4 linked regions of the Saccharomyces cerevisiae S288C genome follow. Changing the gene in region 1 together with any one later gene gives a genetic interaction. Each region holds a gene or a part of one and is shown in the gene's direction. Other genes may lie near its edges.

Evidence for each region.
Region 2: mutations in YLR415C (region 1) and PAL1 together harm fitness more than expected from each alone (negative genetic interaction), as found in Saccharomyces cerevisiae (one large-scale study listed by BioGRID).
Region 3: mutations in YLR415C (region 1) and INA17 together harm fitness more than expected from each alone (negative genetic interaction), as found in Saccharomyces cerevisiae (one large-scale study listed by BioGRID).
Region 4: mutations in YLR415C (region 1) and YTA6 together harm fitness more than expected from each alone (negative genetic interaction), as found in Saccharomyces cerevisiae (one large-scale study listed by BioGRID).

What each region holds. Positions count from the first base shown.
Region 1 is NC_001144.5:950,820-956,533, reverse strand, and holds YLR415C (uncharacterized protein), read left to right. Parts: upstream 1-1,936; coding exon 1,937-2,275; downstream 2,276-5,714. Other genes in the region: ESCRT-II subunit protein VPS36, read right to left, coding at 1-1,524; PUN1 (Pun1p), read left to right, coding at 2,390-3,181; INA1 (Ina1p), read right to left, coding at 3,351-5,378.
Region 2 is NC_001136.10:1,169,826-1,176,732, reverse strand, and holds PAL1 (Pal1p), read left to right. Parts: upstream 1-4,907; coding exon 4,908-6,407; downstream 6,408-6,907. Other genes in the region: ATP22 (Atp22p), read left to right, coding at 1-613; YPS7 (putative aspartic endopeptidase), read left to right, coding at 2,557-4,347; mitochondrial 37S ribosomal protein mS43 MRP1, read right to left, coding at 6,590-6,907. UniProt on the Saccharomyces cerevisiae protein: Involved in the early step of endocytosis.
Region 3 is NC_001148.4:363,020-368,542, reverse strand, and holds INA17 (Ina17p), read left to right. Parts: upstream 1-4,474; coding exon 4,475-5,023; downstream 5,024-5,523. Other genes in the region: EEB1 (medium-chain fatty acid ethyl ester synthase/esterase), read left to right, coding at 1-472; PNG1 (peptide-N4-(N-acetyl-beta-glucosaminyl)asparagine amidase), read right to left, coding at 525-1,616; ERI1 (Eri1p), read left to right, coding at 1,808-2,014; tyrosine--tRNA ligase MSY1, read right to left, coding at 2,113-3,591; MGR2 (Mgr2p), read left to right, coding at 3,816-4,157; ATG21 (Atg21p), read right to left, coding at 5,181-5,523. UniProt on the Saccharomyces cerevisiae protein: Component of the INA complex (INAC) that promotes the biogenesis of mitochondrial F(1)F(0)-ATP synthase. INAC facilitates the assembly of the peripheral stalk and promotes the assembly of the catalytic F(1)-domain with the membrane-embedded F(0)-domain.
Region 4 is NC_001148.4:414,235-421,466, forward strand, and holds YTA6 (putative AAA family ATPase YTA6), read left to right. Parts: upstream 1-1,528; coding exon 1,529-3,793; downstream 3,794-7,232. Other genes in the region: transcription regulator GCR1, read left to right, coding at 1-1,128; putative ubiquitin-specific protease UBP16, read left to right, coding at 4,278-5,777; YPL071C (uncharacterized protein), read right to left, coding at 5,814-6,284; guanine nucleotide exchange factor MUK1, read left to right, coding at 6,714-7,232.

The sequences.
Region 1 (5,714 bases):
ACCAGGATTATCACCGATCAGATCTACTAGCTTTTCTTTTACAACGTCGAATTTTTCGCTCGTTACACATAATATTCTTTTGTTAACTTTCACTAACTTCAATTCATTTAGACCTAAATGCTCGAATCTTTCGCATGCTTCTCTCATTTCCATGGGAGATATCAGGCCTGTACCTATACGCATAGATTTGTTGTACATTGCATATAGATCTACCAGAGTTATGATCATATAGTTGGTATCACTGTTCAAATCTTTAAACTCGGACAACGTGAACTCGTAAATTTCTCTCGCAATCTCATCCAAGAACAGCTCTTTATTTAGGAACTTCTCTCTATCAAGTATCAATAGCGGTCTTCTCGTTTTCGGTTCATTCACGGTTGATTCATCCTGTAAGTTCAATGTCTTGGTTTTCATCGTTATGTTGCTATTTTTGTATAGTCTTTCGATGCTGGTAGCCAGCGACATTAGCTTGTTTAGGTCGGTCAACGCATTGTTAAAGAGAATGTCATTGTTCAAAAGCTGGTTTTCTCTAGATTTTTCCAAGCTTGATATGCCAATTCTGCTCAATTTAGTCTCAATAAATGGCACCTCATTGTTGTATTCGTGAGAACTAGCCCCTTTCCTCATGTCTACACCATTTACAGAAACCACATTCTGATTGAAAATATGCTTATTCTTTTCAGTGAGTATATTCTCCAAAGCCCTCTCTGTAGCTTGTGAAAACAATACGCCATCAGATTTGCGGAAACTCAATTGCACGAATTCTGTCGATGATCCTGTCGAGGACGAGGACGATAATGCCGAGTGCGAGCTCTTGTTTCTAGCCAGTGAATTTTTTTCTAGCTCAATATGGACCCTAGAATCATGAAAGTTTAGCCTGTTCAGCTTTGATCGTACTTTGGATGCATTAGGCAATCTGTGGCCGCAAATCTCGCAATTTCCTATTTGAGGATGATTAGCAAAAGTACAGGCGGGGCAAATGTTCTCAGAGTTCACTCCGAACTGATTCTGTGGGTTGGCGTTCGGGTCGATTGCATTAGAACAATTTATAGACGACTTGGTGAGCTCATAGTCCGCTGGCACACCGCAATTGATACAAATGGGTGTAGGTAGAGTGTCTTTAGTGAATTCCCCCTGCGTTTCGTTCGAAACCATACAGATGGGGCAGACCCACGTCGAAACAACGTCGGCACTTGCTGTTTCCGCACTTTTACCAAGTTCATCCTTACTGGAGGGGTCCTTGAAAAACAGGATCAGACGAGGTGATCTGGTCAAGAAGCCAGATGAATAGTTTACATACGCTAGATCGTCCAATTCCAACCCAAGCGAGTTCTGAGTGGGCTTTGCATCGTCGATGTAGATAATTCTTTGTGACGTTAAAAAGATTCTGCCCCTCTGTCGCTGTAGAATCTTAGATTTGCCATGGTAAAGACCTACGGACTGATCGATAAAGATATCTTTTTCACCTTCTCGAAGAAGAGGTTGGCCCGATGACGTAGTTTCCACATAATGCCAGTACTCCATCTTTTGAAAAAAAAAGAATGACTTTCAAAACACACTTCCTGATTCCTAGCCGAGGTCCCCTATTCTATCTTGGATGACCTTTTCTCTGCTTTTTTGTTTTTCAGTCTCCATCTTTTCCAGATGAAACATGTGAAACCCTTTTTCCTCTTCGTTGATCCTAAAAAAAGCGCGTCTGGAAAACAAGGCGAAGCTTCCTCACATGGAAAAGGCTTCTTAATATGTCGCTACGCCTCATTCCCATTGCATACAGAAAGCAAAGTAGTGCGTTTTGCGAACGTCACAGATCAAAAGTTTGGCCATGCATTGTCATTCTTTTTTTCTTACATACACTGCACCAGACATGTCGGTTCCGCCCCGCTAACGGTTAGTCAGCCACACATTGACGTACACTGTGAACAGCCTATTTCTTTCCATGTATCTCAGTGCCCAGCTTATGAGAACTGTCACAGCCTCCCACTTGACCCTCAGAGCCCTCTCCACTCCCCCCCTCTTTCAACATCGCCAGATAGCCGCCGTTGAATGGTGCGGGACAACCCGGCCTGGCCTGGCCAGGCAAAAAAGGACGCAGCACGCCTCGAGCGTTATTTCCAAATCGGGCGTACTATCAGCCAAGCCCAGCTCGGTATTTTTAGCGCTTCTCGCAGGAAAATTGGCTGAGAAGTATATATACGCGAGAATGTTGCTCTTCCATGTCTCAGTAGTCAATGAGTGTCCAGTGGTGTTTCATTCTGGACCAGTTGTTTGGAAGTAGAACTAAAAGAAACTAGATCAAGATCATACAACGCTGCGCAGTAGTGAAACTTGATTAAAGCAATAGAGAACTATTAAGAAAAAAACAAACACATCATCGAAGGACGCTATAAGCATGAGGAATTTTTTCACGTTATTTTTTGCAGCTATATTTTCGCTAGGAGCACTTATATTAGCCATTGTTGCATGCGCAGGATCAACGAAAAATTACAGTCCCATAAATAAAATTTACTGTGCAGAATTGGATCTGTCGCAGATGAAGGTATCGACGGTGCTCCCTTCTTTGAGTTCTGCTACGCTATCTTCGTTGGGCCTGCCCTCATATATAAATATAGGGCTTTGGTCGTACTGTACAGTGGACTCCTCGCATAACATCCAATCATGTTCTTCGCCTCACGGTATCCAGAATTTTAACCTATCGTCATTAGTGTATGACAATATCAACAACAATGAGGCTCTGGAGCTTATGGATTCCGTGGCCAGTGTTGTTTTGCCCGAAAAACTAAAAAGTAAAATGACATACTACAACAATTTGGTCAAGTGTATGTTCATTACCATTCTTATTGGTATTGTCTTGACCTTTGTGAATCTAGTGTTCAACGTATTGCGCTGGATCATCCACATAAGGCCGCTAACGTGGTTTGGTGCCTTTTTTTCATTTTTCGCCTTTGCCGCCCTATTAGTCAGTATAGGTTCGTGTTTGGGCACTTACTCATACATCAAATACATCCTAAAGCATAACTATAGTGATTACGGTATTTCAATGAGCATTGGTAGGAACTACCAGGGTTTGATGTGGGGGGCTGTCGTTGGAGCATTACTGAATTTCATTCTATGGTGTAGCGTGAGATCGAGGCCCACCGTCATCTATGCGAACGCTCCAATTGAGGAAAAACCATTGATTTGAATTTGAAAAAGGCAAGGTTATTAATTAATTTTTGTGTTCCGTTTCATATTAAATATGATTAAAATATATTGTCTATATACAATTCAGAAAATTATAATGAAGAAAATTAAAAGGATGGAGAATTGAAAAAATTTACGGGGTGATGTTGCATGATCTTCTTTTTATTATTTTACCTTGCAAAGTTTTTTTCAGCATCAATGGGGCTTTCGTGTTCTTCAATGATTCTTGAGGTAGTAGAGTCACTTTCTTGAACAGCTTTCTCAGCTTCCACGATGGCAGCTCCCTTTCTGCTGCTCCACCAGCAGTATGCAATGCAGAGAAATACAAGGACGGCAAATACAAATCCAGACCACATTAGGCCATAAAATGGAGAAGAGCCAGAAATAATGACATCGTAATTGTCCTTCTTGGAGCCGGATTTCATCATATTAAGGATGACGCTAAAGATTGTGCTTCCCAACCCGCTGAAAATACATATCCAACAGGAAATAAAGCCCAATGCCAACCATAATTTTTGACTCACCACGGAACGTCTACTTAGTAGCAACAAGAATACCATTAAGAAGAAGGATGTGATTATGCACATTAAGTTCATAGCTAAAGCTGCTTTCACTGCTGGGACATACATGTGTTGTCTGTCTTGTAATTCACCATCTAAATGCAAATCGTCCTTACCGATGTTCAGGGCATCCATATAAGGTTTAAAGTCCGAGCCTTCAATGTTGTTGTAAACAATCGACCGGAAATCCATGTTTTGAACAGCGTGTGACTTGCTACACGAGTACATTGTTCTGTTTAAGTGAGCACGACACATTGTGAAAATGGACAAACGGTATATGACAGGGATGTGTAGATATTCAAGGATAGAAGGAGTCATTTCCTTGAGTTGTTCTGGTGTGATAGTTGTCATGTTTACAGCAGAGTTTAAAATTTTCAACATGGGCATAAATGTAGCGGCATTAGTTTCTGCCCATTTGGTGATATTAACCAGAGAAGAGAAACTTGACACGGGGTCGCTTGACGCAGCTAATAGGCTGAACAAGTATGGAACGTACTTAAGTAATACGGTGTTATTGGCCAATTGGGATTCCAAAGTAGGGATTATGGAAACAACTGTGGATGCGTTAGCACTTGCAGAAAGGATTTCATCAAGTGCCACCAATTGGTTAGTAGAGGAAGCGGCTTCTTTAGAGAGGGCCAAACTTTCGACAGATGTTAGCAGCTCTGTTTGGTTTGTAGTGTAATTCAACAAGTCAGTCAAAGCACCCATGGCAGCTTTAGCGGAAGATGATTGGGTAATGTTTTCGGCAATCATAGTGCTCAATACGGATAATGTTACATTTTGAGATGTAGTTTCATCAAACAGAGTAACAACAGCTTGGACAGCTGGTTTTAAACTCGAAGGAACGAGGGAGCCTAATTGCATAATAGTTTCAGTAGCATTGCCACCTTCCGCAAGACTGGTTTTTAGACTAGAAAACAATGAGGAGACCGTTGAAGTTGGAATGGTAGAGTTCATTATGGTTTCTAACGCATCGCATGTGGCAGTAATGTTCTTGGAACTTGCGAATAACTCGAATACAGGCGACAATTTTGTCTTTTCTTCTGTGGTCATATTATTTAAAGTGATCAAAGACTCAGTAGTGCCTATAGGATTGGTCGAATCCACTAATAGGGTTAGAACAGTATTTTCTAAGGAAGCCGAAGTAGAAGAAGTGTTGGTTGACATAGATGACATCAATGTGCTAAACCCATCCAAGAGTTCGGTTGTGTTTTTAGAGGTAGTCAATAACTCATCAAGAGCGGAGAAGGTCGTGGTAGTAGCGGTATTGGTTCCTAGCAAAGCCATTGGAGCCAACTGTGTCAAAGATGATAATGTGGCTGAAGTGTTAGCAGCATTAGACAACAAGTGCAGTAAAGGAGACAAGGCTTCGGTAGAAGCGATTGCCTTAAGAGCGCCGAAGATGGTATCCACCGTTGTATTTGGAGCGGTTAGAGCAGAACCTAACACAGTCAAAATTGGGCCAACTTGTGGCATAACTTTTGTAACGTTGATTTTTGATATATCAGCATCACCGATATAAATGTTCGTTATTGGCTTATAATTTGAGGTAGAACCCGCAGTTGCAATAATGGTCAACAGAAATGTTGTAAGTGTCAATAAAGCACAAATCGGGAGGAGTATTTTAAAATTCATCGCAATAATTTGACTGTATTACTGAATTTTTATTTTACTGTATCAGCATCGCATCTACAAGCTATTATGAAGTAAATGAAAATCTCAAGGCTTAATGTGAGTAAATGCAGCTAGATTGTCAAAGGTTTATATATTTTGTCGTTCTTTTTACAGGAAAAAAAAATTCTGTGTAGAAGTGTAAGATCTATGATTGCAGCAGCTTGAAAAGCGATAAGTTTGTTGAGGATTTAACAATTTCAACTTTTTTTTTAAGCAGAACAATAGATTGACGTAGTTAAATTTGTCTACTAAGATCTGTAGGCAAGTTTTTTTTTTCCAGGGACGACGCCGTATAGA
Region 2 (6,907 bases), on another chromosome or scaffold:
GAGTTTTCTTTCCGAGGAAGCTCATAAATACAGGTATTGGAGAAATGATACCGGAATCCTCAATGTTTTCCTAAATTATATTAGATTCCAAGCTCGTGAACCAAGGCTGGCCTACAATGTTCTTCTGGATTTTTATTCTCAACCTTTCGCCAAAAAAGTGGTTTTAACTACCACGCTATGTCCCTTTTCCATAGTAGCCTATAAAAATCATACATTAACGCAGGCTGAACTATCAGAATTGCTACAGGTGATGCATAAAAATGGGGTGCCTTTAACGTTTAAATTTTGTTCTGCAATGGTAATGCATTATGTCAAAATGAGAGACGAAAAAGGAGCACGCTCCTGGTACAATAAGATACTCTTCGGGGGCTTTGAAATCAGGCATATGGCTTTGATACAGATAATAAAAGACCAAGGCTGGCCGTTTCCCAAAAACTTTGACGAAACTTTACTGACGGAATTGGTGGAAAATAATAACATTAAAGAACCTACTGATAGCACCCTGTTTACTGACGAAGATATGTTCGAAGAAGATGGCAAGCCTAGATTTAATGATGATGATGTTAATAAATGTACAAATATTATAAGAGAGACGTTGAAAAGTCTAAATTAATATCCAGATGAGCACTAGTAAATAGTAAATATTCATTCATAGATAGTAATTTACCCATAAGTTATTAATACCTACAAAGTTTTTTCATAAGTTTATGAATATGTCTTCTTGGCCCATGGTTACTTTATTACCTCTAATACCTTATTTACTTTCTCAAATAAATGAGCCCTTGGATTTCATTTACTGAGAATAAAAAAAAGTACCGTGCTCGGCAAAAATGCTCCAGGGGAGGTTCGAACTCTCGACCTTCAGATTATGAGACTGACGCTCTTCCTACTGAGCTACTGAAGCTTTGTTTTGTACAGACGTTACATCTCAGAATGGGATACGTCAGCATGACAATACATTATCCTGAACGTTCATAGAACACATATGAAACCTAAGAAAACGAACAGATTGAGCAACATGAGGTAAAACTCCGCCTTCTATAGCTGGGCTATCTAAACGTATAAATGCCTGAACAATTGGTTTATGAGAAATGGGTGTATTTTGAGAGACTTGTTGGGATTCCATTGTTGATAAAGGCTATAATATTAGGTGTACAGAATATACTAGAAGTTCTCCTCGATGATATTGGAATCCTCTAAATGGAATCTATATTTCTACATACTAATATTACGATTATTCCTCATTCCGTTTTATATGTTTCATTATCCTATTACATTATCAATCCTTGCACTTCAGCTTCCTCTAACTTCGATGACAGCTTCTCATAACTTATGTCATCATCTTAACACCGTATATGATAATATATTGATAGTACAACTATTAGTTGATAGACGATAGTGGATTCTTATTCCAACAGTTTAGATCCAAGGTTCCGCGCTTCCACCATTTAGTATGATCCATATTTTATATAATATATAGGATAAGTAACATTCCGTGAATTAATCTGATAAACCGTTTTGACAACTGGTTACTTCCCTAAGACTGTTTATATTAGGATTGTCGAGACACTCCGGTATTACTTGAGCCCGTAGTACAGCGCAGGCCTCCAGAGTTGAATTATTCTAAATTCCTGAATAATAACAATTTTGCAGACAAAATTCAGGCAATAACTCAAAAGAGTAATCTTTCACTGCATTTAAGGCGCTAAGATTCCCGCCAAAAGTAGTCGTCACAAAAGAACGTATATAAAATGCACTTTCGAGCGGTGACAATGTGAGAAATAGGTAAATATTGAGACAATTGTTGGGATTACCCTGTTTCTCATCTTTTATGTCATCTTTTTACACCGTATATGATAATATGCTAGTCGATAGATGGTGGTCGATTCTTCTTCCTGTATACAAATATATGAGTTGGGGATGTATATTGCAAAGAGCTTGATTATGACACATTGCCAGACCAAAAAACAAATCTCTTTCTATAATGTTCCCAGGTGGGCTAATTTTTTAAATAACGACGGCAGTATATTGATATTGGAGAGAGTTGTATTTATTGTTCGATATTTATTTTGATATCAGCTTTATATTGTAAGTGTTCAATATTTTAATTAGTGTGTATTTTGTAACTTTACTGCCAATTATCAACATAATTACAAAATTGTTATAAAAATTGATGCACTAGTGTTTCGGTTCTTGCTCTTTTAACCAACCGAGCCTAAAAAAGAGGCTCTTGAAAGTAATTTAACCCAAACAATGAGATCTTCATTCTTTTTTTTTTTACCTCAGCTATGACTTGCAGTGCTTTGTATCATACCGCTCGTTTGGTCGTGCTATTTGCAACAATGAACCTCGTTACCCCGAACAAAAAAAAATGAGATATTGAACGCCGCAGCTCATCATGGTAGAATGATGCAGCTAATACCAAAATAAGTTATATTTAGAATGTTGGACATATCAGTTGCATTAGACTAATCGTTCTAGAAGGATACAGAACTTGGAAAGATCTTTGAACGTATCGTAACTGCGTGCTTGCTTTATTTGCCGTTGATTTTTGCTATGACATGCCTAATTTTATGGTATCTGTGGCTCATATCAACTTTTCAGTTAGAGTTTGCAACGGCTAGTACTGCAAATACAACAACTACAGCAAAGTCTGGAACCTCTTCGTCAACGGAGGAGCCGTTTCCTGTACTAGCCGTGGGTAAAGATGGTAGAGGAAACTACTATGTTAATAGCACATTTGGCACTCCCGGTCAACGCCAACGTTTGCTAGTGGATATTATCCAACCGTACATAAATCTGGTTTCCGGAACAAGCGAAAGTCATAACGAATACTCCGGTGTATATCATAAGCATCCCAGCTACCTCATGAATGACTCTACATCATCTGTTCCTGTTTCTCCTGGCCAAATATATGAGATTTCTTTCATTGATGGTAGAGCTGTTAACTGTACTTTGGTGACAGACGATATGAATTTTACAAATGTTTCCTCAGAAAATTCCTCGACCGCTTTGATAACCGATTTAATGGTAACTCGAGATAACGTACAATTTAACTCGGGGAGCCTATCCATTTCAAACGTTTCCTTCTTTGATATTCAGTCCTCGAACTTTAAGACTTCAGGCTTGTTAGGTTTAAGCGGGAAGGTCACAAACCCAGGCAATGCTATCGATAGCTCACAATACACAGAACAGTCTTATTTTCTATCCTTATTGAAAGATGCAGATATCATTGAAAGTTCGTCATATTCACTGTGGTTGGCTGGAGACACTTCCACGTACAAAACATATAGAGATCCAATATCTAATTGTGGGAAGCTACTTCTTGGAGGGGTGGATCCTTCGCTGTTTACCGGTACACTGGGAAAATTTGACTTAATTCCTTACGTTGACCCAGTGAGTAATGCTGTTAGTGTTGGGTACCCAATTGTGCCATTAGGCCCTATTTATATTGTGTCTAACAGCGGACAAAGTTTGAATATGACTTCGAAGGACTTTCTGAGCCCAGCCTTACTTGATTCAACTTCTTCGGTCAGTTACCTGCCAACTAGTACCATTATTCAGATTGCCGTTCAAATTGCGGCCACTTATGTGGAATCACTAGATAGGTGGCTAGTCCAATGTTCTATAGCAGATATGGGTGTCTCCTTGGGTTTCAGGCTTCGAGAATTGACAATTGAAATACCCCTACGTGATTTATTATCATCTACTTACGATACATCCACCAATTCTTCAATGTTTTTCAGTTCTGGACAGGAAGCTTGTTTTCTAACACTATACGCTAATACAAATACTGGAGTAAACATACTCGGAGAAGCCTTCATAAAAAATATATATATGGCAATGGACTTAGAGGATAACACTATAGCCATTGCACAGGCAAAGAAGGTTGAAGATGACGCAGTTACTGAAGAGACAAATGAAACTACCGCGTCCACTATCATCAAGAAGATCAAATCTGGTTACATTCCTTACGCAAAAGTGATGAATAGTAGTAATACAAGAAACTTGACTCTTTATCCATCCTATAGGTCAGGCTATATGTTCACTGTCCCAGGTCAACTGACAGCAGCATACTCAAACGGTGTGATTACAGGTGCGGGCCGGTCATTCTATGATACTTCAAGAGCAAGCACAAGTGCTAGACCATCCAGTACTCAATTCGACAGCTTTTCTGTGTCAGCCTCAGAAGAGTGGTCAAATTCAACTAATAGAACCAGCAGTGCTTCGGGAGCAGGCGTTCGATTGAGCAGTCCTTATACATTTAACAAAGATCCAGCTGGACATGTAACTCGTATAGCTTCCTTGCTACTACTTTCGATATTCTCGATACTTATTGTTCTTTGAATGGTTTTAACAAAAGTTCATAACATAAAACCTTTTTCTCCTTGACCAATGCACGTATAACATCATTATATAGCAGATTTAATAACAACATACTTAAAAGTATATATGCGTCATTCTTATCCAGTTGTGTAGAAGCTAGTACTTGTGATCAACCATTGGCAGCCATCTCAAAGAATCGTCGTGCACGGAGCGTAAATCGCGTTACTTTTTTTTTTGTTTTTTTTCCCGCCTCGAGGTTGGTTCAACAGCAGATCATGGTGACTGGCGATAGGTTATTCACTAGAAAATGAAGATACTCTTTCTTGGGAGGTAACTCTGTAAAATTTCTAATTTGTATTTTATAGTGTGTAGAATCCGAAATATATCCGATCTACCTCGCTCTTTTTATTGTTATTTTTATTCGAGGAATTTAAGTGTTTTGCAGACCTATCCCTTCGAACACGTAACGTCATTTTACCATAATCTTCGACTGCTTAATTGTTGATACATTGTAGGTTCCATTACACTTTGCCAGCATTTTCCATTTTTAGAAAAATTGATACATATACGCAAGATTTAGCATGGAGAATAGAAACAGTAGTACCTCTAGTAGGCCATTTTCTGTTAATAACCCGTTTAGAAATGCCACAGTTGATTCAAGTATTAATCAGTATAAAAATGACTCCCAGTTTCAGGAGTGGGCGAAAAACCAATCTCGTACCAATTCATTTGATATGCCACAATTGAACACAAGAACTTCTTCACAATTATCATTCCCAAACATTCCAGAGGATGAACCCCAGCGAAACGCAGATCAGCAGGGTGCTTTTTATTCTGGTTTGGAGAGCTTTAGTAGTGGTAGTTTATCACCACCTTCGAGACCTCTTTCCTCAAAGAATCCTTTCCTAGACGATGTGAGTTCTGCAACCGATTTTAGAAGGTCTCCCCCACCTGTTTCAAGGAATAAAAATCATCCCACTGCTAAAGAAGAAAAAGAACAATTAAGGCAAAGATATTTGGAGGAAAGTGACGTAAGTACAGTAGGTAACACAAGAGAAAACACTGACCTACCACCCTCATACGAAGAGATCACTTCAACCAATGGATCAAGGCGTGCATATCCAAAGGAAAAGGTTTCTCGTCCTTCTTCTCACCGCGAACATAGCAACAGCGGCACATATATTTCACGCAGATCTTCATCCCACCATCACCGTGAAGCTTCCTCATCTTCAACGCCTTCTAAGAAGGGAAAGAGAAAAAGTAAGGTTATTGTTCCTAAGAACGTCGATACTATCGATAAGTTAGATGTAACTGGATTGTTCGGTGGCTCATTTCATCATGACGGCCCATTCGATGCAGTAACACCTCATAGAAATAAAAATAACAAAGCTGCGCCTGTTTTAGCATTTCCGGTCGATGGTCCAAACAGTACCATCGGTGGCGCTTCAACCAAGAAGTCTGCCCTGGATGAGGTTTTTGGGAGAGATGATACAGATGATTCTGATATATACCAGTACAGTTCGCAGACTCTAAGGAGAGGTGGTGATACGCAGGACGCAATAAAAGCAAACGTGGGTAACGTCCAACAAATGGATGCCAAAAATAAGACAGAATTGGTTCATGGGCCAGTTACTGCGGGATTAGGTTCTAGTACGTTTTTAGATGGGGCGCCGGCCTCCTCAGCTGCCATTAGAAACGACATAAAAGCCCATTCCTATCATAATCGTAACGGTGGTTTACAAAGAAATAAGTCACTTTCTCAACGATTAGGTCTCGGAGGATCCGGTGATAGCAATGCCCCCATGACAGGCGTTAGAAGAAACTTGAGTTTAAGTAGAGACAACTATGATGTTGGTCACAGCAATGAAGGTGTTAGAAGGTCGAAAACCGTTAATTCTCCTAACAGAACGCATAAGTCCAATTATACTACTGATTTCGACGGCCAAGATGATCACAATGAAGATGAGGAAGACGTTTATTTGGGTGTGCGCTACAATGAGCCCAATATGAAAAAGAAATCGACGGGCAGCAAATTACTGAGCAGAGTAAAAAGTCTAAAGGTCGGCAGGAAAAGTCAGTAAAGTGAGCTTAAAAGAGAGAAAAGAAGCTATGAGACACCAAAGCCAGGCAAATAAAAGGGAGAGATACGAATAAAAATAATTTAAGACCACGTTATATACACATTACGAATAGTTTGACTTTATATATTTACAGAGACTACCAACTTATATCAAAAGGAAAAAATTCCCATTACCAGTTTCATTCATAACGTGTTGAATGCTTGGATCTTAGTACGTTGAGGTAACCTTGACTCTACAATTTTCCATTCTATAGAGTCCCATACCCTTTCTAAATATTCTCGTTTCCCAAATACGCCATAATCAGTTAACCATGTTTTTGGTGACGCATCAATGGCTAAAAGCGGGATATATGAAACCTCTTTCCCAGAAAAACCTTTCTGTTGGGTTTCATAAATAAATTTTGTCTTGGCTTGCTTGGCAGTCATCTCAGAATCTTCAAGATTACCGGCTTCTTTGGCTCGTTGTTTTTCCATGTTGGTATATTGGTTATTGAGCTCATT
Region 3 (5,523 bases), on another chromosome or scaffold:
TAGAACTTTAACACAATTTCTAACAAGGACTGTCAAGGTTAATATGAATGAGTTGCAGGTACCAGAGAATTTTGAGGTTTCGCACAAACCGACAGTTGAGAAACCAGTCTTTTATACGTATACCAGAGAAAATTTGGAAAAGGCTGAAAAATTTACAGACATATTAGAATTCGATAATCTTTTCACTGCCCCATCGATGGGCCTGCCGGACGGGTTAACATATTATAGAAAGGCCAGTTCGATAAATAGATTGCCTAATATCAAAATCCCAACTTTAATAATCAACGCAACGGATGATCCAGTTACAGGTGAAAACGTAATTCCGTACAAACAAGCTAGAGAAAATCCTTGTGTGTTGTTATGCGAGACTGACTTGGGTGGACATTTGGCTTATCTCGACAATGAAAGTAATTCCTGGTTAACAAAGCAAGCTGCCGAGTTCTTGGGCAGCTTTGATGAGTTAGTTTTATAAATATGTTCTTAGATAAAATTCCTTACACATAATAATCTGTTCTTTTATTTCTCTATTTACCATCCTCCCCACGCTGTGCTTTCCAATCCGCCGATCCACTTTCTCTACCACGATTAGATGATTTCGAAGCGGCACTGACGCTTTCGGATTTCGTTTCTTGTGTCTTTCCTCTAATCAGCTCTATCTGTTCCTGCTCATCGCGACATGCAAGTTGGTATATCTCGTCATCATTTAACGAATACCTCAACCTCTTCGTTATAAATTGACAAAGGAATTTTAAATCTTCTTCCTTGATTTGATCTCTGGGCAGCTCGTTTTGGAGGATATAGCGTTTACTAACGTCAACAACGCCATCTTTACCGAACGCAATACAGTAACTCATTTTCTTGTTCCAGTTAATTGAATAGATATATGGTTGGTCGAATGATTGCTCACAGGAGTCGACATGAACCCACCTATTCAAAAAATTTGAAAAATATTCACACCAAACATGATCTTCTCTATTCCAGACGTAGCGAACATCTAACCCAAACGACTTCAAAATCAAAGTAAATAAATTGCACCATTCACCGCATCTTCCCTTTCTAGTTTCCAGCAACTTAATTGGATCGTTATAACGAGGAAATCTAGTGATATTTCCGCATCGGTTGCATTTATAGATCTCAACAGTTCCGCAATTGAATTTAGATTCCTCTCCATTGGGCCCTTGACTGCCCAGAGGTGTCATATTTTCTGAAGTGTTCTGGCCACAATGATTACAATCTGGTTTATTGCACCATTTGAAAAAATCTTGTTTGAAGTAGCGAAGCAGCTCCTTTACTAGATAATCCGTGTATATATTTTCCCCCTCTGCATGCCCATCTTTGGCAAATTCCTTATCAACATTTTTATATATTAGATCCAGATCCAATGTCTCCAGGACTATAGAATGCCATGAAGGATTGTCATAGACTGTACAGAGATGTTGACTCTGACCTAGGACTCCTTGTGCGAATTGATTTGTATGGACTAAATTCTGAAACCTTATATTCTCTACAGGTGCAGCTTTCTTGAATTTAGACAGTATGAAATCCTTATACTTAATTAACAACATTTTGGCTATTGAATCAAAATCTATGTTATTTTTTTCGTATACCTCTCCCATTGCTACTCCACCTGTTACCTTCTTCAGGTTGTTTTACGTCTTCTATATCTGTTCCCAACGCATCCTTTTTTCTTCGCTACAATACAAGGAAGATTACACTACGCAAAGTTTCGAAAACATCAAGAAGCATAGAACAGTTGAAACTAGGCAACAGGACTGTTTCAATTACATGATTGAGAATTTATAAGCGCATGAGACCACGTGACCAAGGCTTTTTGGTTTTAGGGTTTACTTACTCGGTACTCCTAATTAGTCTTGCTACATTTTACTGGTTACGCAACAATGACTCTTTCCTGCACTACTGGTGTGTATTACTGCTATGCCCTGCGACTCTCTGGCTGTGGGCCCTCATAGCCTGGTGTGACAGTGAAATGTTCGCAAGTAGTAAAGATGAATAATCGTTTATAATCTTATTTACAAGTCAGTGCATAAAATGATATAATATCACCTCACGCATGCCTATTTTATACATGTACTTTATATACCTCCCTTTTTTTTAACGCATTTCTATTATAAAACACTTCTGCTTTCCTATCCTCAAGATCAGTACTCGATCATCTATCAGGAAAGGAGCCAAGTTAGAAATATTTTCGTTTACTTTAGATTTTGAATGATGCAGATACACGCTTCCCTGGGAAAGTTTTCTTCTGGCTTCTGATACTGAACAATTTACTAGTTTACAAATTAACTTTATTAAGTCAATCTCTCTATCAGCATACTGCAAAATTCTGGCTTTTTTACATAGATCAACTAACTTCGCAGCAGATAAAGTTCCGTCATAACGTCCAAAAATAATATTAGAAAGCGCTTCTGAATCCGATCCGGAGCCAACTCCATATAACATATCTGTGACTTCTTTAGCCAATAAAGTTTGGCCATAACGTAGACTGGGTGATTTGATATGCGTTTCCACAATTTTTTTGATTTCACTTGAGTTTAAAAACGTAAAGATCTTCAAGAACTTGGGTACATCAGCATCCAAAGTATTATAAAAGAACTGGTAAACATCATACGCCGTATTGATTGAGGGGTCAATAAAAACAGCATTGCCTGCACTTTTCCCAAATTTCTCTCCTGTAGCCGTCGTCAACAAGGGCACAGTGATACCAAATGGCAAACCCTTATTCTTTATAGGCTGTATCCTATTGATGAGATCGATACCGGCTGTTATATTTCCCCATTGGTCGTTACCACCTACTTGTATAGTCACATTCTCTTCCTTATACAAATGGTAAAAATCGTACGCTTGTAAAACTTGGTAAGTAAATTCGTTAAATCCCAGACCATTTTTGGTTTGAAGCCTCGAAGAAATTGAATCCCTCGCCAACATAGATTGTACCCGAATGTGCCTACCAAAATCAGCTAAGAAATCCAACATTTTGATGTCTTTCCACCAGTTGAAATTATTCCTTGGTGTATATTTTCCGGAAGGTACATCTTCAGTGAGAGCACATCGGTTTCTGTAATATTCTAGGCCATTTTTGAAAAACCTTTGTAATTGCTGCGAGATGGATGCCACATTGCTTTGCCTAATATCGTTCTCCATAACGTCTCTTTCTGTTTTCCTACCACTTGGGTCCCCAACTTTCCCTGTAGCTCCACCTATCACAGTGACAATGTCGTGACCTTTTACGTAAAAGTGTAATAAAACCATTAGTGGAACTAGATTTCCCAAATGAAGTGACTGAGCTGTGGGATCCACCCCGCAGTATAATTTGATCTTATCGTTACCGTTCAACTTCGTCCGAAGGAAACTCTCTGGCTGTGAGACCTGGGACACTAGACCCCTTTGTTTGAGTTCGTCTAAAATATTATCGCTTCGAGAATCCGATGTGCCCTGTACTTCTAAAGCACTAGGCTGTGAATAAAATCGAGATTTAGGCAATGTTATTGCACTTAGTCCGGAATAAGTCACCAGAGGCACAAGTCTCCTACTACTATTGACCAAATTACTACAACTTCGTAATTCGAGCATGATTCACAATGTCTACCTGTAGATTGCTGTGTTCAATCGGAAACTGGAAATTCTTTCTTAACATTATGAGCCAACCACTTTTTATTTTCTTTTCAAAACTCCCGAACAAGACCAACATTACCAAACAGACTCCACTACTTTTCCATAAGAAGGAAGCACAGAACACCACACAAGATCATATAGCACAAATAGCGCAACAGCTTCAAGTCCAATATTAAGATATAATGCCTCCTCTTCCACAAAATTATGCGCAACAGCAGCCTTCGAATTGGGACAAATTCAAAATGGGGTTGATGATGGGTACTACCGTCGGTGTCTGCACAGGCATCCTATTTGGTGGATTTGCCATCGCAACTCAAGGCCCAGGTCCTGATGGTGTAGTTAGAACACTAGGGAAATACATTGCTGGTTCAGCGGGTACCTTTGGGCTATTTATGTCCATCGGGTCTATAATCAGAAGTGATAGTGAAAGTAGTCCAATGTCCCATCCTAACCTGAACCTACAGCAACAGGCAAGACTGGAAATGTGGAAGCTTCGTGCCAAATACGGTATACGTAAGGACTGAGGGGGAAATTTTGCATATATTTACGCTTCCCCATCGTTTTCTTAAACATTGTTACTTATCTGCTTATTTTTATTTAAGATATCTATCTACCTGTTTATAACTCTCTCAATACCATGTATTTAAGTTCATCACGACGAGGCTTATTTACTTAATATATTTGTATACGTGGGAAATGTCTAATATGTATACCGGTTTGCATCTTATTTTGGGTGGGGTCACTAACGGCAAGACTCATAAAATAAAGTATTCGCTAAGCACTCTGTTATATTTGTAAACTTTGAGAAAGGAAATGGGAACCAAAGCATATAATAGACAATATGTTAAAAAGACGCTCTAATGCTCTCATTACTTTGAGTAGAACTAAATTGTTTCCCATAACAACCGTTGCCTATTACCACAGGCGCCTCCTCAACCAACAACGAAGAGCTGTTTCAACGTCACCGAAGAAAGAAATCAAGAGCCTAGAAGACTTGGCTAATTTGGATTCTTTGGATGGTGTTGATACTGAACTGATACGCGATTTGATTAATGAGCATACTACAAAATTAAATATCAAAAAGGAGTTAGATATGCTCAAAAAATTCTCGCAAGAGGAAGAATCAGGACATGAGATCCCTGTAAAAAGATTTATTAGGCCTCTTTGGATGTTCATTCTAATGGGATCTTCCGTTTATTTACTGCTTCACTTCTCTTGGTGGAAACTAGAGCATGAGGAGAGAGAAAGTCAGCTAAAGAAAGAGGTAGAAATCCTGGAACACCAATTAAATGAGTTAATTGTACAGGATAAAACCCACAATACTAGTAGGGGAAAGGGCAGTAATGAATCAACACATATGAAGCCTTGGTATAGGAGATGGTTTTGGTGAGAATTAGTTATCTTGTTGGCTTTTCGTGTTTCTAGAATGTACCATTGCCTATGTAAATATTTTCAAATTGCTTGTTTTGAAGATTTCTACCCTCTTTAGCAATTCACACGTGAATACGTACAATATCTATTAAGATTATGAAAACTGCACATATGCATTATGTAAATTTATTATTTTTAGTCAGCACACATTCACCAGGTTTTGACGGAATACTATATATACTGAAGGTTCCATCATCAGAGGCAATATAGACTTGGTTGGGAAATTCGTCTGGAAACCCTAAGCAACTCCTGTTCGATTCATTAACTGTTATATAAGCAAAGTTACGGCTCAGGTTCTGGTTTGGTATTGAAGATTTTATTTTTTTCGAGAAGTAATTCGCAATTCTTGGTTTCGAGAGAGGTATTTCCTTTGGAGTTCCCATACTGGGATTTGAATTTGATGCTAGTATATATTCCTCTTCATTCCAGTGGCCATTGCTAGAATTATCTCCAGGGAGG
Region 4 (7,232 bases), on another chromosome or scaffold:
CTACCGTTACCAGGTTCAATAGCCTCTGCAGCAACAGGCAGTCCTTTTTCTCCATCACCCGTTGGTGAGTCTCCCTATAGCAAACGCTTTAAACTAGACGATAAACCAACTCCGTCTCAGACGGCTCTTGATTCCTTACTTACAAAATCCATTTCAAGCCCTAGATTACCCCTTTCGACGTTGGCTAACACAGCTGTCACGGAATCTTTTCGCTCACCTCAGCAGTTTCAGCATTCTCCAGATTTTGTAGTTGGTGGTAGCTCAAGTTCAACAACGGAAAATAACTCTAAGAAGGTAAATGAAGATTCTCCATCATCTTCTTCAAAACTAGCTGAACGACCTCGTCTTCCAAACAACGACTCCACTACTAGCATGCCTGAAAGTCCCACCGAGGTAGCTGGTGATGATGTTGATAGGGAGAAACCGCCAGAGTCAAGTAAGTCGGAGCCCAATGATAACAGCCCAGAATCGAAAGATCCTGAGAAAAATGGTAAAAACAGTAATCCGCTTGGTACGGATGCTGACAAACCAGTACCAATTTCTAATATTCATAATTCTACTGAGGCTGCAAATTCAAGTGGTACAGTGACAAAGACAGCTCCATCATTTCCGCAGAGTTCTTCTAAGTTTGAAATTATAAATAAAAAGGATACGAAGGCGGGGCCAAACGAGGCAATCAAATACAAGCTGTCCAGAGAAAATAAAACAATATGGGACCTATATGCGGAGTGGTATATTGGTCTGAACGGTAAATCTTCAATAAAAAAATTGATTGAAAATTATGGCTGGCGAAGGTGGAAGGTTAGCGAAGATTCACATTTTTTTCCTACTAGAAGAATTATTATGGATTATATTGAAACGGAATGTGATCGTGGCATAAAACTCGGCAGGTTTACTAATCCTCAACAACCGAGGGAGGATATACGGAAGATTTTAGTAGGGGACCTAGAAAAGTTCAGGATAAATAACGGTCTGACTCTGAATTCTCTATCATTGTACTTTAGAAATTTAACGAAAAATAACAAGGAAATTTGTATTTTTGAAAACTTTAAAAATTGGAACGTTAGATCAATGACAGAAGAAGAGAAATTAAAGTATTGCAAAAGGCGACATAATACACCATCTTAAGTTTATTGAGGTTGTCCGCGACAATAGTTCCTTCAACAAAATAACGAAGCGACGATAACGAGAAATGTCATTAGGTTATTACTACCTTTATAGAAAATATATATACTTATTTAATATTTATATAGATTTATGTGTGTACATACCTATGCGGATGTATGCCTATGTGGGAATTCCTAAATGTCTTTCCATCAACGACTAAATATATATTCTCATGACTGACTATATGGGTTACGAAAACTTAATTTTTTTGTCAAAGACCCTGGCGAATTGAGAAAACCCGCTGGATAGATGGGCTATCCGAAATTTTGAAAGATGGAAAAAACATTAATCTCATTAGCAAAAGAGGTAAGACCCTGGGTGAAGAAAAGTCCGAGGAGGGAACACAAAAAAGTCTAGGATAATGGCACATGAAAAGTTTAGTATACCTGAGAACTTCACATTAGCGCAGTCTTTGCAATTGCTTTACTCTGTTGTCAAAAATCAATATAAAAACCTAGCAGACCTAATAATCAATAGCAAAGGTAATAAGGACACAGTAACGTATGGGAAAATCCACAAAAACTTAGACACTTTACTGGTATACGTCAATGAAGGTCTACGAAAAATTGAAAAGACTTATACCTTAAAGAAAGGGTTAGGAAATCTTGTAGTTGATCATCCTGAATTGAGGAGCATCATTGAGGATTTCCAAATTCTTGGCCAGGATATAAGGATCGCACGTCGTAAAGCAGAAACGCTTATGGCCGAAGGAAACGGTAGTCCCTCTTTGTCATCCTCCTCTTCCGTTTTGGGCCTTGGGACAGGAAATGGTTTGCGTTTTCCAAAACTTTGGAGAATGGGTTCCAAAAGAGATAAATTGAAAGAAGCTGACGAAAAGGAGGCTAAAATCAACAAACAGGCTGATAATATCAGACGTGCTAGGAAATTAGAAGAAGAGAAAAAGTTAGGAGCAAAACTTCAGTATGAGAGGGACTTAGAACTTCAAAGGGAAAAATTGATCGAGTTAAAGGTTAAAGAAAAGGTCGAATTTGAAGTGGCCCAAAAGTTGGAGGAGGAGAGAGTTAAGAGAGAGGAAGAAGAACGCAAACATAGAGAACAAGCGGAGAAAAAACGTATATCAACCCTGAAACATGAGAGGAAAACAAATTACAAATCAAGGGCTAGCCTCGACAACTTCTCTTCCAGTAGCAAATCTTCTGGAAAGATTGACAACTCCCTAATTAAAAGAAGATCACTTGACGTTGTACGGACTTCAGGCGAAAGAGTACGAACGCCAGTAAGAAAATCAATGGAGGCAGCAGAAATAGGTATGGCTGCGCAGTTAGCCTGGTCTCAGTATCAAAACGGGGCAAATCATTCAAAAGTGAGTAACAACGGATCGCATTCAAATGAACTTCAGATACGTTATAAGCCAACACCACCTTTGAAAAAAAGGTATGACTACAAAAAGCCAACAGTTAATCGACCGATTATAAAATCACCTACTCTTAACAGGCAAAACAGCAAGTCTTCACGGAATATACCCACAAATAGCAAGCTGAAGGCTAGTAAATCCAATACTAACAAAGTTTCTCGTAGGAATGAGCAAAATTTGGAGCCTAGTTCACCAGTACTCGTTTCAGCGACAGCGGTACCTGCTGAATCCAAACCCATGCGTTCTAAAAGTGGTACACCCGATAAGGAAAGCTCTGCTAGTTCATCCCTCGATTCCAGAAAGGAGGATATATTAAAATCAGTGCAGGGAGTAGATCGAAACGCTTGTGAACAGATACTTAATGAAATTCTTGTTACGGATGAAAAAGTTTATTGGGAGGATATCGCAGGCTTACGGAATGCGAAGAATTCTTTGAAAGAAGCAGTGGTTTACCCATTTCTGCGGCCTGACTTATTCAAAGGGCTAAGAGAACCTGTTAGAGGTATGCTTTTGTTCGGCCCACCAGGTACAGGTAAGACAATGATTGCTAAGGCGGTTGCGACAGAGTCCAATTCCACATTTTTTAGTGTAAGTGCATCTTCTTTGCTATCGAAATACCTCGGTGAATCTGAGAAGCTGGTTAGAGCATTGTTTTACATGGCCAAAAAATTGTCACCCTCAATTATTTTCATAGATGAGATTGACTCTATGTTAACAGCTCGCTCTGATAATGAAAATGAGTCCTCGAGGAGAATTAAAACAGAACTTCTTATTCAGTGGTCCTCCCTATCTAGTGCTACTGCACAATCGGAAGACCGAAATAATACGCTTGACAGCAGAGTACTTGTCTTAGGAGCAACGAATTTGCCATGGGCGATTGATGATGCAGCAAGAAGACGATTTTCACGGAAACTATACATTCCTTTACCAGATTATGAAACTAGACTATATCATTTGAAGAGATTAATGGCCAAGCAGAAAAATAGCCTGCAAGATTTAGACTATGAATTAATAACAGAAATGACCGAGGGGTTTTCTGGTTCTGATCTTACGTCATTAGCCAAAGAAGCGGCAATGGAACCTATTAGAGATTTAGGAGATAAGTTGATGTTTGCGGATTTTGATAAAATCAGAGGAATTGAAATAAAAGATTTTCAGAATGCTCTGTTGACAATAAAAAAGAGCGTGTCGTCAGAATCTCTACAAAAATATGAGGAGTGGTCTAGTAAATTCGGTAGTAATGGTTCCTGAACGAGAGGGAGCGTCTTAATGGCAAAGAAAGGTATGAGAAGGAATTTTCCCCTTTCAACTTCTTGCTTCTGATCTAATTTTATTACCTATGTACTTTCTATGTATTATCAAAGAAAAACTAACTTCGGTTCCCTTATGATTTGATATTTTTCTTTCTTATTTACAATTAGTTTTCTCAGAACGATATTCAATACAGTTCTCCGGATTTTTGCTTACTATATTGGCCCCAAAAAAATGAAATAAAAAAAGAAAACAAAATAATATACTTGGGTGAAATAAAAAAAATAAATCAATAGCACCCAGTTAACCTAGATTCAAAGTTTCTTCTTCAATCTCAATTTATATACACGTTTGAGTTAATGGGAAAGCAAAGTCCAGCTATAAAACACTTGACCGTTAGCGCCATACCCTCCAACAACTAATTGGACCTTCTCCTTCTGCCCAAACAGTATATGCAAGGTACAGCAGTTACTACAAGCACAATATGTCTTGGATAAAAAATGTAACAGAATCTCCGACTTCACTGATTAAAAAAGTTTCATGTGGTTTGATAATTGCTGCTTCTCTATATGCCATTGCACCCAGCCTAAGTGCGCTAGTCTTTGGGGATTCTAAGCAGAGTATTGGGAAGTACACGACAGTGGGCTTAATTAATCGTGGGAATGATTGCTTCATAACATCATCTTTGCAAGGCCTGGCTGGAATACCTCGATTTGTAGAATATTTGAAACGGATAAGAACGGTCCTTCTAGAATTAGAAACTAAGCTGTCAAATAATGCAAAAGGCGACAATCCTACAGTTGATAACACTACAAGGCATAGTCGACTTGAAAACTCGTCTAATTCACTTGCCCCCTTACACGAAAGTCTTACCAGTTTAATTTTGGATTTGATATCTGTAAAAGATCGTAAGACGTCAATTTCTCCGAAAATAGTGATAAACACATTAGAGTCCATCTTTAAATCAAAGATCTCATCCAAACAAAATGATGCACATGAATTTACATTAATATTACTACAAACATTACAGGAAGAACGATCAAAATTGATCGATTACAGTAAACAGATATGTAATTTGAATATACCAAAGTTTCCATTTGAGGGCGAGACTTCCAAGTTTCTAGTATGCCTTAAATGCAAGGGTCTATCAGAACCATCATACAAACAGACTTTCATCCGCGAACTGTCCGTACCACAACAAACATCAGAGAATCTATCCAATATTCTAGCACACGATGAAACAGAAATCATAGACGACTATTCATGCCTGATCTGCCAAATAAGAGCAATCTTAAACCATGAAGAATATAGAAATTTCAAGGACTGTACCCCGGATGAAATTTTAATGTTGGACAGATTGAAAAATTATGCCACTAAAGCCCCAATTAACGAAAATTTACCATTCGAAGTAGAACAGTACGTCAAGCGTTACTCAAAGGGCAATTTGCAGGTATCTAATATAAAGGGAAAGGTCATCAAAAAAGATGTAGTAGTACAACTGCCAGACATATTAATTGTTCACTTATCGAGATCCACATTCAATGGTATTACATATTCTAGAAATCCCTGCAATGTCAAATTTGGAGAAAGAATAACACTTTCTGAATATACATTGGCTGAGAGTGGGACAATAACAGAAAACAGGCAAGTCAAATATAATTTGAAAAGTGTTGTGAAACACACCGGTTCTCATTCGAGTGGACACTATATGTGTTACAGACGCAAGACTGAAATTCGTTTCGGGAAGGAGGATGAATCTTCCTTCAGAAGAGCACCAGTTGTCAACAATGAAGTTAACAAGAATCGCGAGCAAAACGTTGCACATAATGATTACAAAAAAAGCAGATATAAAAAAGTCAAAAACGCCCTGCGGTATCCTTATTGGCAAATATCTGATACCGCCATAAAGGAATCTACCGCTTCAACTGTCTTGAATGAACAGAAATATGCTTATATGCTATACTACGAACGTGTAAATAAATAACCGCCCTGTACATAGGTATATTATAATAATAGTAAGTTACGCATCCATATCCACATCAGTATCCACTGCCATCATTTCAACATCGGTATCAGCCTCTCCATCATAAGTGTATTTCGAAGTCATTTGATTATGGAACCACTTCCACCAGCTTAGATAAGCAATTTCCTTATAATCTACCCATTTTATTATTTGTAGCCTTTTTTCTCTCAAACGTTCCCATATTTTGTCATAAAACAAGTCATTGTCGCCGCGTTTACTTGTGGAACACTTGATGATCTCTTTCAGGACCTTATCATCAATAGCGTCTGTGAATACTATATTGTTATGAATAAGATTGTTATCATCTGCATGTCCGTTCTTGGGCCCTTTATCATTTAAGGATAAATTCTCTAAATCTATAATTAGTCTTTTTCTTTTATAATTATCAATTCCTATTGGGTCTGGAGAATGATTTCTTTTCCTAATGTGGTTGGGATTGCCATTACTTCTTGCAAACCGGGAACTCATGGAATGAAAAAGTCATTTAAACGTGCCACTAGTTTTACTATCTGCTAATCGTTCTAGACGTGTAATATAAATCATATCCGAGCGCCGTTGTTGAATAATTTAATGCCTTCGTATTACATACATTTTGAAATTTGCTTTCGTAAAAGAGCGGTTCCCGGATAAAAAAGTGTGCAAATAACCGAGCCTTATTTGATTTCCAGTAAAGACCCAACCAAACGCATCATTGAAGCAAAAATAGATTAAAACTTACTGTTGTTCGTCTATTGAATTTTGTTCGGATTGGTGTGGTGTTTAATATCTTGGGCAGAAAGAGAATTGGCTTTATAGACACTCATAAAATCATCATTCCCCTTAGAGCAAAAGGTATTTTTAGAAGCCAAGAAGAAGAGCAGATAAAAAAGAAGTACGCCCTCTAACAATAAAAGTCAAATGGCTAGACAATTATTCACTCCTCCGATAACCAATCCAAGGTTTGACCCTAATCAATCCATCAGGGAATCATACAAGAACACAACTGGCGGCATGCAATTTCAACAAAATCTACATGAGGATCAAAATGACAATGAGAGAAGTAGCTGTGATGGTGATGAAAACTCTACAACAGGAGAAAGGCTAGAAAACAATAAGTCTCCTATATTGACAAAACAAGAAATTGACGAAGCGTTGAACACTGTCACCAATTTACCTCCAGAATTATCAAAATTAATTGACATTTTTATTGATGACCTAAAGCAGCCAAAGTACGTACGGCCACTATCAGTACTGCAATTGTCTAGTCTTTTCCAAAGCTTTTACATAAAATTTGATAAAGCATCATTCCAGCACGTCAGTTCAGCGAATAATAATGGCTATTATTTTTCTGGCGGGGGCTCTAGTTCATTCTTGGCTGCCAAAGAAACGTTAAGTAGTGGTCTTAGCGGAATTTTTGGCAGAAGTAGGAGTAGTAGT